Tribolium castaneum: one gene and its partners. The protein of the gene in region 1 purifies or fractionates together with the protein of each later gene. This does not show direct contact. Links are inferred from orthologs where the notes say so. Each region holds a gene or a part of one and is shown in the gene's direction. Other genes may lie near its edges. The genes, in order: tral, P32 and eukaryotic translation initiation factor 4E transporter.

Region 1 (4,232 bases):
AGAATGGAAATACTAGTCCAAAACAGTTTGGGCAGGCAATTAGGCATAATAACGACAGTGGCGCCATCTCTTTACTGTTGCTCCACCAAACCCAAAGACTTCATAAAAAAGTGCATTCTATATCTACTGGCTTTGGTTTCGCCCCTTAATTTAAGTCCTCCACACTTCTGACGCCAAAATAAATACCTGGAGTGGTCAAGTGAGCTGAGAATACCGTTGTGGCTCCATGGGTTTTTAGGGGGGTGTAACTCAAGATCTGAGGCTTTGACTGACTGTTCAAGGGCGAAAACCAACGCACCGGCGCCCCCAGCCAACGCTCCCAAAGTCCCTATTAACTAAATTTATCAACGTAACAAATATCCCACCCAAACTGGCCAAACTTACAGCTTTTCGGCCTCTGGTCCATTCCCTCGTAGTCGAAAAGGAACTGATCTAAAACGTAATCGCAACATTACATAACCGCTAAATGCAATTAAATCCAAAAAATAATCACCAACTAAGAAATAAAGTGATGACATAACGTCTCATAAGAACTCGAATAACGTGCCGATTTAAAGTCCGTTTTTTGGCAAATGGTCAATAACAAATCTTACTGCGCTGGTTTCGCGAAAATGAGGGGTAACTTACCTGAGTTACTGTTTTACCGCAGGAGGGTTTCAGAAGTCCAGCCCCGCAAATCCTTCCAACACTCGCAGCCATGTTGACTAAGGGTGGTCACAGGTCAACAGAATCCCCGTCTAAAAACCGATGGGACTTGAAATATGCAGCAAATGCATAAACTGACGGAGAAAAGCCAAAGTTTATCCTTCACGTGAACGACTTCGTTCCAAGGGAAGGATAACAGAATTTTGACAGCTTTACGTAATAGGCACCGTGGGGATTTTCACTCCGTTTGGGTGGCACTTGCCACCAAAAGGCGCCTTGCATTTGAACAAATCAACTTTTTTCACACTTTTTGAGGCCCTTTAACTACCTGGAGCCCCCACACATCGTATATGATTATGCATTAACCCACTTAAGAGTATATTACAGCCGAGTTATTTTTTTTACTTCGAACTCGTCATATTGGCAGTAGTGCAAAAAACAGTAGCGTCCCGTAACAACGAATAAATGGGAGATTATTTATTGAATAAATTTTGTTACGTCAAAAGTTTTAACACATAACCCATCACTGATTTAATAGTGTTACGTTTTATCGTTTGTTGTAATAAAAAATCGCTACTAGTTGTTGCAAAAATAGTGAAAATTTTCTCCCCGCCAGTGGTCTAACGGTTGGGTTTGTGGTTGTGGCAGGCCTGCTTTGCGTCATTCGCTCCAGCTGTTTTGGGTACGCCATTTGAGAATCGTATTTTCGAAATAGGTTGAGTTAAATGTTAATCGTTTAAAATCCTCGTCATCCTGTTCGTAAAGTGATTTATTCAGAATGAGTGCTGGTATGCCGGAGATTGGCTCCAAAATAAGTCTAATATCGAAAGCCGATATCCGGTACGAAGGACGATTATTTACAGTAGACCCCAAAGAATGTACAATTGCCCTATCTTCCGGTAAGTTGGATTTTCTACTAATTTACACCCAATTTCTGTATGATTGTCGGAAAGCGCGCCCTAGAATTGCCTTCCGGGCCGAATTGGAGTCAATTCTGGCAAAACTTTTTGTCCCAAGACCGAGATAATTGTTACTTAATGCTTTTTTAACTAATCCGTTGTTAGTGGAATTGTGCTGCTGGAAGTAATGACCTCGCGAGAGCTGCCCGAAAAAGCTATCTAATCTGTTTTTTTGCGGCGAAAAAACTTCAAGAATCAACTTGTTTTTGTCCAGTTGAGGCGCGAATTTCAAACTGAACTTTTAGTTATAAACGTTATCAAACTTCGTTTGTTACTGATATGATCACATTTCGGGCGATGTAAAGAAATGTGCTGTATACAAAAAGCAGATTGAGTTTCTTAAATTAAAAAAAGATTATGGGTAAATTGAAAATGTGTTTTTTTTAGATGTTCGTTCATTATTCACTGGTTTTCAAGAACTTACTCTTTTTATTACTGAGTATAACTTTGATATCGATGGAGTGTGAAACGTTTTTAAATGACAATACTATCACAGAAACTGTTGGTATTGAAAATTACAGCAACTGTAATTCTTAGGACGGGTTTATTGAAGGCTTTTTTAAAATTTAATTTGTTGTTACAATTTAATTCGTTTTTAAAACTTAACAGCGCGAATGGACCAATCAAATCTGTTCAATTTGGTCACGTGGTCAGTTAATCACGCATTTAATTGCGTGATTAATTTAATTAACCGACCCTTAGGGCCGGTTTATTAAAAGCTTTGTTAAAATTTAATTCGTTGTTAAAAGTTAACAACGCGAATGGACCAATCACATTTGTTCAATTTGGTCACGTGGTTAGTTAATCATTGATAATTTATTAATTACTCATTAATTTAATTAATCGACCCTTAACTATTTTTCTTGATTAGTGTTAAATTCGAATCAACCTCGTTCACAAAAAATCACAGTATAAAGTTAGCTCATTAATTGATTATTTTGAAGACTTTCTATTTTTTATAACTTATAACACCTTAATATCAGAACATTTTTATCCTAGCTGACTTCATTGTTGATAGTTTTAGAGATAATTAGCTGTAGAAATGTTTGTATAGTTATAAATTTTTGCAATTAATTAAGAACCAACTCGCATTACTCAGTTTTCTAGCTCACTAATCGATTTAATGTTTTGTAACAATCCAGAAATTGTTATTAATTCTGATGTTAATGCTGACATGGTTTCTGATCACTACTTAGTATTTTGTGATTTAGCTTTTTCAAAACAGCATATTAGCTGTTTCAAAACTTTCAAGAAATGCCAACGTGGCATTTTACCGAATTCTTTTTTTAAATAAGGTTGATGAAAATGTAAAATAGTTACTAATGGTAACATCTCTCATTGAAACTATTAGCTATTATCTTTTTGAAGTGTATGAATAGTTATCCCAACTAACTTTTAGGGAAAATGCGACGTTTGCCTTTCTATAGTTTTAAAACAGCTAATAGAGTACCTAAATTGATTTCTTACAGAAACTTAAACAAATTTAATTATCAAATATTTTTAAATGATTTTTAAATACTAATGTGCCGGATTCGGTACTCTATTATACTACCCTTGACGACGAAATCGAATTTCTATCTAACGTGTAACGATTCGATCTTTATGTGCCTTTTGTAATACCTTAGTTTACACCTGTGACTGAAAAAATGTGAAAAAATGATAAATGAGCGTAATTCGGCAATGACAAAGTACAAAAAAAAACAATACTAACGATTGGATTGCTTATAAACATTTACGCAATCTGACTGTAAATTCAATAAGGCAAGAAAAGAAAGCATATTTCACTACTAAAAGTAAACAATACGATAAAAAAGAAATATGGTTAGTTTTACGTAATTTAAACATTAAATCAGGAAAAAGAAACGACATAGTTTTATCAAACTTCAATGTGGATGATGCTAATAATAATAATTTTGTTGTTAGTATTTAGTCCGTCAGATAATTGTACTAATTCCACATTCTTGTTAGTAGCAAAAAATTAAATGTTAATAGTTGTTTTTGTCTTGTACTTGCTTGTATTGATGAAATACAACAGATAAATGATAATTTAAAATCTAATGCTTTTGGTGTTGATCTTCAGCAAATACAGGGTGTTAGCGAAATAAATGCATTCCTTTTAACCTGTGACAGTACACATCAAGGATAACAAAAAATCTTAGTAACATCCTTGCGAAATGAACGAGAGAAAAATACTCATTATTATTATTTTTTATTACCCACTGTCTTCTAATAAAAACAATTCACCACTAAAAAACAGTTGTTGGTACTAAACCATCCACCAAATTTGGAACCTAAGGGTGTAGCCGTTTTTGAGAAAAAAAGCTAAAACTATTTTTTTAGGCTAACTTTTGATGCGAATAACTCTGCAGGGGAGTTCTTTTTCGAAAAATTTTCTAAGAAAGACATTCCGTAAAATCACTTGTAGAACACGCTTTTGAAAGGAATGCATTTATTTCGCTAATACCCTGTATGTTGAAATGATTTTCACCTATTTTGACGAAATTTATTGCTCATATTGTTAACTGTAGCATTGAGGTTGGATATTATCCTGAAATGTGGAAAACCGCTTTAGTGCGTTCTCTACCAAAAATTAAAAATTCCAATGCATGCTCTGATTTGAGACCCTTT
Region 2 (4,316 bases), about 2.4 Mb from region 1:
TGACTTAACATAATCGGAAATTTCCCTTCGTAAAGGGGAAGAACCAAACGGCAAAGGTACGTAATGGTTCGTTCTCACATTCAAACGGTCAAAATACTGCAAATCACGCTTTGATGTAACGAAAAACCGAATTTAAAACCCACCTTTAACAACAAGGGCCACTTGGAACTGTCCAACTTTGCAATCACTGAGGAGGGCTCCACTGCAAATTCGGAGCCTTTTTGAAGGTTCCCCAAGTCTTTGTCGCCCTTGCTTTTCTTCTTTTTCTTCTCCCTAACGGGCGTATCCGCCTCTGCACAAAATTGCGTTCTAAATAACGATAAGACAAAGCGGCCGGTTTTTTGAAAAAAATCATTATTTTTGAAACTCTAAATACATTTCTACCACTAATTATTTATCAAAGAACGAAATAAAGCCTCGTTAAAGATAATAATAAACAATAACTTACCAAACTCAGACATCGCTTAGAAAATAACCAACACGTGCATCCGACACAGAAAGTAGGGTTAGTTTTTTGACAACTAACAACAATTTTGACAGATTTTAAGTGGCGCTACTGAAAAAAATTTAAATGAAATAAATGGCGGGAAATGTTTTTTCGGTTATTTAGAGTCTTAAACGATTTTTCTTTTATTTTTTTTATTTTATTTTGGTAAACATTGGCGTTTTTATGCGCTGTAATCGGTGTTTAAAAATTTAAAAAATGTAAAAATTGCAATCTTTTTTTTTGTGTTTTTTTTCGGAAACACTGAGACTTAGAACTAAAATCAAAAAAGCATCAGATAGCGCCTAAAATTATCTATTTTCTTGCCAAAACCCGGAGCCGCTTCGGTCAACGGTTCCAGGTACAGAGGCATATAAAGTTTTACATTAAAAAAATATTTATCAAAAACCAAAAGTCTATTGTCCATTTTTTATTTCATTTAAAATTTTGAAATTTTTTGCTCAAAATTTTAATAATCAAGGCACTTACCTTCACAAAAATTAAGAAAAAAAATTTAAACTCACTCTAGCAAAGTTTTACGAACTTTTTGGCAAATAACTCAGAATGTGTTAGTTAATTACAAAACTTAAAAAAAAATGCCAATAGTTTTAGAAGAAATATAACATATGACGCAACTGTAAGTACCCTTCTATAGCTGTTTTTTTTGCAAAATTATATACGGTAACCCGTTTGCAAAATGTAATTTCAATTTTTAGAAGTTGATTACTCTACATTTTTCCAATTCAATCCAGGATTTTTTTTAAATATTAAAAATCGTTCTATCGAAGAGTTTTCTAAATTTTTCATTAATTTTAATTTTAGACCACAAAATTTTAATTACTATAAGAAAACTGGCCAATTATTGTCCGGTTTAACATTTTATCTGGACACCGGACAATCATCTGGGTGAAAACCGGACAGGTGTGGCAACCCTATGAGGAATTTGGTGACGATTTAGTGATTATCGTTTGTGGGTTGGTGCCATTCTGGGGATTTTCGTAGCGTTGGGTTGCGCGTCGCTTTTTTCTGACAGTTTTTTTGATAGCACGTGTTGTGGCCGGTTTTTTCACGCATTTCGCCTAAACTAAGTATAAAAATGAATAATTTGCTTCGAGTTGCGTCCAGACTCAGCTTCAAGACGCTCCTGAGTCCGGTTAAAAAAGTGTCCAACACTTTCCAGCAGCGGCAACTTGCGCGCAATCTTTGGTACATGTGCAATCGCAATGAGTCCGAAAACAAACTGAGCAAGTTGTGCACTTGTGGGTGCATGAGCAGGCACCAGCATGCACACAGTAAAGGTACGTAAGTGAGCCCAATAAGTTGGAGGAATAACAAACTTGTAGCCGAACGTGAACTGGTTGAGTTTCTCACTGAGGAGATTGTCCTGGAGAGGAAGGCCCAGAAGTCGGTGACGCTTCCAGCCGAGCTTGAGGGTTTTAAAGTGGGGTTGAACGGGTCTGAAGTCACTTTGAACAAAAAAGTTGAAAATGAAACGTGAGTCAAATGCGTCTCATTTCTTGTTATGAAGTGGCAACTTCTAGGATAAAAATTACTTTCAATGTGAACCACACAGTAGACTCTGATGAACTACCTAAAGTGGATTCGACGATGGACAATCCAGAATTTGGAGAATTAAAGTCAAAGCCTGAATTTCGAATTGAAATTGTGCGAGGGTCGACCACTTTCAGTGTTTTGTGCTCATTTTTAGAAAGTGATGAGCAAGAGGAAGATTCTAGTAAGACACTTCTGTTTTTAATTCACAAGATTTTGCACAACTTTCGGCTCAAAATCTAATCGAATGAAACGCCATTTGGTGATAATTTTATTCGGTTTTAGAGGATTAAAAAACGCTTCGAACACTAAAAAATCATATATGATAGCATTTTTGTGAAGATATGCGAAATCTTGGAATAAACTAAGCCCTTAGCTGAAAAAAGTTCAACCTGATTTAGCAAATTTTCGGCTTATTTTTCGCAACAAAATGTCCTAAATCCCCCGAAAACGCAAAAAATTGGGATGTTTTAACCTTACTGAAAGATTTTAGGATTTTAGCTCTAATACATCCTTTTTTGGTTAATTTTTGACGATTTTCTTCGAAATAATTAAGTTTTTGACGAAAAAACGTTTTGAAACGCTCAAAAAAAGGCAATAATTAGACAAGAATGTGCAAAATAAATGCGTCTTTGGCTCAATTAAGAATGAAATCGAGGAAATCAATCTCAAATAGAATATCATGGTCAGTATGATTTGGTGTTTTTTTCAACTAGTTTTGGAGGATTGTAATTCGAAAAAAAAACTGCTTTTTGGCGTTGTTTTGCAATTCTTCGGCTTCTTGTAACTAAATTTTGCAAAACAACTGCGTTTGTAATCTAGAAAACCTGTTAAAACTCCCAAAAACAATACAATGATCGTCTATTTTTTATTCAGTTTAGCGAAATTGCGGAAAAAAACACGCTATTTTCAGGCTAGTTTACTGATTTCTCATCTTTTTTCTTAAAAATAATTGTTATTTATGGTCGAAAAACGTGCCAATATGGTTAAAATTGCTAAAAATAATGCCATTTTGACCTGATGCTTTGTTTGGTAATTCTTTTTTGTAACCAAATTTTGAGATAACTGCTTTTTAAAACTTCCAAAAACCAAAAAACTACAATGATCACCGGTCTATTTGTTTATTCAGTTTAGCGAAATTTCTCAAAAAGTACGCTATTTTCAGACTAATTTAGTGATTTCCCAGCTTTTTCTTATAACGTTTTGAAAAATTATTGTATATTTCTTGTTTGAAAACGTGCTAAAATGGTTAAAATTTGTAAAAATAATGTCATTTTGATCTAATTTTGGCTTTGTTTGGTAATTTTTCGGCTTCATTGTGACCAAATTTTGAGAGATAACTGTGTTTTAAAACTCCCAAAAACGCTACAGTGATCACAAGTCTATTTTTTATTCAGTTTATTCAGCTATTTTCAGGCTAATTTACTGATTTCTCATATTTTTTCTTAAAAATAATTGTTATTTATGGTCGAAAAACGTGCTAATATGGTTAAAATTGCTAAAAATAATGTCATTGTGACCTAATTTTGGGTTTGTTTGGTAATTCTTCGGCTTTTTTGTAACCAAATTTTGAGATAACTGCTTTTTAAAACTTCTAAAAAACCACAATGATCACCAGTCTATTTTTTTATTCAGTTTAGCGAAATTTCTCAAAAGTACGCTATTTTCAGACTAATTTAGTGATTTCCCAGCTTTTTCTTATAACGTTTTGAAAAATTATTGTATATTTTTTGTTTGAAAACGTGCTAAAATGGTTAAAATTTGTAAAAAAATGTCATTTTGATCTAATTTTGGCTTTGTTTGGTAATTTTTCGGCTTCATTGTGACCAAATTTTGAGAGATAACTGTGTTTTAAAACTCCCAAAAACGCTACAGTGATCACCAGTCTATTTTTTATTTAGTCTATTGAAATTTCGTTATTTTTAGGCTGACTTAGTGATTTCACAACTTTTTTCTTTTGTTTTGAATATTTCTGGTCGAGAAACGTGCTAAAATGGTAAAAATTATGTCATTTTGATCTAATTTTGGCTTTGTTCGGTAATCCTTCGACTTCTTTGTAACTAACTTTGCAAGATAAATGCGTTTCTTGTTTATAAAAACTGTTAAAACTCCCAAAAACGCTACAAGTTTAATGAAATTTAGAAAGAATACGTTATTTTCAGGCTAGTTTATTGATTTCCGATGTTTTTTCTTACGTTTTGAAAAATAATTGTATATTTCTAGTCGAAAAACGTACTAATAAAACGGTTAAAATTGGTAAAAATAATATCATTTTTTACCT
Region 3 (3,651 bases), on another chromosome or scaffold:
ATTCGTTTGTGAAATAAAAAGACAACAACACAACAATAAAATGGTCCTACCTTTCGTATCGCTTCCACGTTGGCTATCGTTTGTAGCATTAAAATAAAATTAAAAACAACGCCAAAAAAAGCTTTATTTGCATTAAATTTAGAGCAAGCCACTTTCATTCATTGAAATTAAAGAGAAAATTATTAAGTGGCATTAAATTGTTTGAGTGTTTTATTTTATTTAGTTACTGAATTTAAAACGCGTCACTCAAACTTTGACTTTTCAACACCGTATTTAGCGCCGGTGTACTCAACGTTTTATTTGCAATTAAATTTTATGGAATTATTCGTTTGTGAAATAAAAAATACACACACAAATAAAATGGTCCTACCTTTCGTATCGCTTCCACGTTGGCTACCGTTTGTAGCATTAAAATAAAATTAAAAACAACGCCAAAAAAAGCTTTATTTGCATTAAATTTAGAGCAAGCCACTTTGATTCATTGAAATTAAAGAGAAAATTATTAAGTGGCAATAAATTGTTTGAGTGTTTATTTTATTTAGTTACTGAATTTAAAACGCGTCACTCAAACTTTGACTTTTCAACACCGTATTTAGCGCCGGTGTACTCAACATTTTATTTGCAATTAAATTTTATGGAAATATTCGTTTGTGAAATACAAAATACACACAAAAATAAAATGGTCCTACCTTTCGTATCGCTTCCACGTTGGCTACCGTTTGTAGCATTAAATAAAATTAAAAACACCGCCAAAAAAGCTTTATTTGCATTAAATTTAGAGCAAGCCACTTTGATTCATTGAAATTAAAGAGAAAATTATTAAGTGGCAATAAATTGTTTGAGTGTTTTATTTTATTTAAGTTACTGAATTTAAAACGCGTCACTCAAACTTTGACTTTTCAACACCGTATTTAGCGCCGGTGTACTCAACATTTTATTTGCAATTAAATTTTAACCAATTATTCGTTTGTGAAATAAAAAATACACACACAAAAATAAAATGGTCCTACCTTTCGTATCGCTTCCACGTTGGCTACCGTTTGTAGCATTAAATAAAATTAAAAACACCGCCAAAAAAGCTTTATTTGCATTAAATTTAGAGCAAGCCACTTTGATTCATTGAAATTAAAGAGAAAATTATTAAGTGGCAATAAATTGTTTGAGTGTTTTATTTTATTTAAGTTACTGAATTTAAAACGCGTCACTCAAACTTTGACTTTTCAACACCGTATTTAGTGCCGGTGTACTCAACATTTTATTTGCAATTAAATTTTAACCAATTATTCGTTTGTGAAATAAAAAATACACACACAAAAATAAAATGGTCCTACCTTTCGTATCGCTTCCACGTTGGCTACCGTTTGTAGCATTAAATAAAATTAAAAACACCGCCAAAAAAGCTTTATTTGCATTAAATTTAGAGCAAGCCACTTCATTGAAATTAAAGAGAAAATTATTAAGTGGCATTAAATTGTTTGAGTGTTTGATTTTATTTATAGTTACTGTATTTGAAATGAGTCACTCAAACTATGACTTTTCAACACCGCATTTAAAAAATTAAAACGCACGACTGCTACCGTTTGTAGCAAGATAATGAAAATAAATTAACCGCAAATGAAAAAAAAAAAATGCACTGACCTTTTTAATCCGGATTGTTGTTTCCTTCTTGAAGACCATTCCATTGGCACTAACACACACTACACTAACCGCGATCACCGAATTTAAAATTTAAACCGAAAAATTTAGATTTGCTCGAGCACACGTCCGTTCGCGACAACGGCAAGTAACAAACTGAATAATTTAAACGAAACGGCACAATAATTTAAATAAACCGCTCGTCTCGCGCTCCCGAAGTGACCCGTGCCACTGCTCGATGCCGACTGAAGCGCTCTCGCCTACTGCGACGCACACCTAACCTCGGGACACGTCACGGACGTGACGTCATTATATGTCTAAAACAGTTCATCACCAGAAACATACATTCACATAATTCGTCGAAATTAGAAACATTCATACACAGAATTATTCAAAATAGAACAGTATTGACCTAGAAAAATTAATTATAACAAATGTATTTGTCTGTAAACGTCTAAAATTATAAAAGTTTCGCATGCTGTTAATGGAAAAATAAAAATGCATGTTGTTATTTTAACAGAACCTGGCAATGTGAATTTTGGTGCGAAAATTAGTGGTATCGCAATGCGTATATCCACAAATTGTTTGTTTGGTTTGTTTTGTTGAAAATTCGGTAGGTTCGAAAAGTAGGGTTATGTTGTTACCTGGAAATGACAAAATTTCCACTTTTATCCATTTCTGCCCTTTCAGAGCGTTATGATAGGATATTTAGGGCAGAAATAACTACCTTGTGTCAAAAATTTATGTGCTATTGCCAAATAGAGACAAAGGTTCAGAAAATAGGGTTATGCGCTCTTCTGAAGTGTTAGATTTTAACTTTAATAGATTTTGTGTGCTTTTCTGCTCTTTTAGGGCGTTATTATTCATTGTTGAATATGTTTAAGGGCAGGCAAATCTACCTTTGAGTCAACGACATAAACTTTAGTGTGATTTATTGAAATAATAGGGTAAAAATTAACTTCTCGTGTTAAAAAAGGGTGTTTAATCGTTTATAAAGGGCGTGTTAACGTGTGTTAAATTTACCACGTAATAAAACAAAAGTACAACAACTTTTCTATAAAAGCATTTTGCAAAATTTTTATTCATTATTTTCACTATTTTCCTTCTTTCCTTTGTGCAAACGAGCCGGTGATGTGAAATTTTGGTGTGAAAATTAGTGTAATTGTAAATTTAATCTCTTTTTCGCCCTGTTTCAACGAATTTTTCTCTCAAATCAGTTCTTTTCAGAACGCCATAATTGTGTGTGTGTGAAAAATTAACACACGCAAATGTGATCTGATATCACATTCTAAATCATTTCTACAGAGCATATACTACAGTAAAACCTCTCAACAACGGACACCGGAATTGTCCGGTGTAGAGAGGTGTCCACTAATGGGAGGTTGGAAATTTTAATATAGGTTTTGTTACGTTCCTACAAAAATGTCCGTTGTGAAGAGATGTCCGTTAAAAGAGGTTTCAGAAAAATTTTGGAGGCATCACCTTGTACTTTATTAAATAAATAAAACTACAGCGCCTGGCGTTTTTTAAAAATTAAAAATTATTTTTTAGGCGAATCCCGTGACGAGGAGCCCGAATGGTTCTCATCCGGTCCGTCTTCCCAAAACGATACAATCGAATTGCGCGGTTTCGACGATTCGGATCGTCTCGGAAAGAAGAAAATGTCACCGTCGCAAGCGAAACGCGCACGCGATTGGTTCAAAAAGAAGACTGAAGTGTCGAGTGTGACCGAAGAAAAGGAAGAAATGAGCGAAGGTGGTCCCGGTGGCCGGTCAACGCCTACGCCGCAGAGCGGTTCAGGTGAAACAATCGGCGGGGAACAAACAAATGAGTCAAACACAAACGCGTCTGAAAGTGGAGATGGTGACGGAAAACACAATCAAGAGAAGAATCTGAACGACCAATCGTCGATTTTTGAAGATATCTTGAAGTCGGATAGTATTCCCGGACTGCCAGGGTTGTTAACTGTGAGTTGTTGTTTTTTTTTTAATTATTTTTTTATTGTGTTTTTTTTGG

The links.
Region 2: the proteins of tral (region 1) and P32 purify together in Homo sapiens (affinity purification with mass spectrometry; 3 studies listed by BioGRID and IntAct, with this or other methods). This does not show direct contact. The link is inferred for Tribolium castaneum from reciprocal best matches to the Homo sapiens genes LSM14A and C1QBP.
Region 3: the proteins of tral (region 1) and eukaryotic translation initiation factor 4E transporter purify together in Homo sapiens (affinity purification with mass spectrometry; 3 studies listed by BioGRID and IntAct, with this or other methods). This does not show direct contact. The link is inferred for Tribolium castaneum from reciprocal best matches to the Homo sapiens genes LSM14A and EIF4ENIF1.

The regions. Positions count from the first base shown.
Region 1 is NC_087394.1:10,178,909-10,183,140, forward strand, and holds the start of tral (protein LSM14 homolog B), read left to right. Parts: upstream 1-1,284; 5' UTR 1,285-1,423; coding exon 1,424-1,544; intron 1,545-4,232. Other genes in the region: cytochrome c1, heme protein, mitochondrial, read right to left, coding at 187-335, 385-432, 628-699. UniProt on the Homo sapiens protein: Essential for formation of P-bodies, cytoplasmic structures that provide storage sites for translationally inactive mRNAs and protect them from degradation. Acts as a repressor of mRNA translation. May play a role in mitotic spindle assembly.
Region 2 is NC_087394.1:7,764,778-7,769,093, reverse strand, and holds the start of P32 (complement component 1 Q subcomponent-binding protein, mitochondrial), read left to right. Parts: upstream 1-1,484; 5' UTR 1,485-1,580; coding exon 1,581-1,782; intron 1,783-1,827; coding exon 1,828-1,978; intron 1,979-2,025; coding exon 2,026-2,219; intron 2,220-4,316. Other genes in the region: Nop60B (H/ACA ribonucleoprotein complex subunit 4), read right to left, coding at 1-96, 144-292, 449-461.
Region 3 is NC_087401.1:14,104,378-14,108,028, reverse strand, and holds part of eukaryotic translation initiation factor 4E transporter, read left to right. Parts: intron 1-3,186; coding exon 3,187-3,602; intron 3,603-3,651. UniProt on the Homo sapiens protein: EIF4E-binding protein that regulates translation and stability of mRNAs in processing bodies (P-bodies). Plays a key role in P-bodies to coordinate the storage of translationally inactive mRNAs in the cytoplasm and prevent their degradation.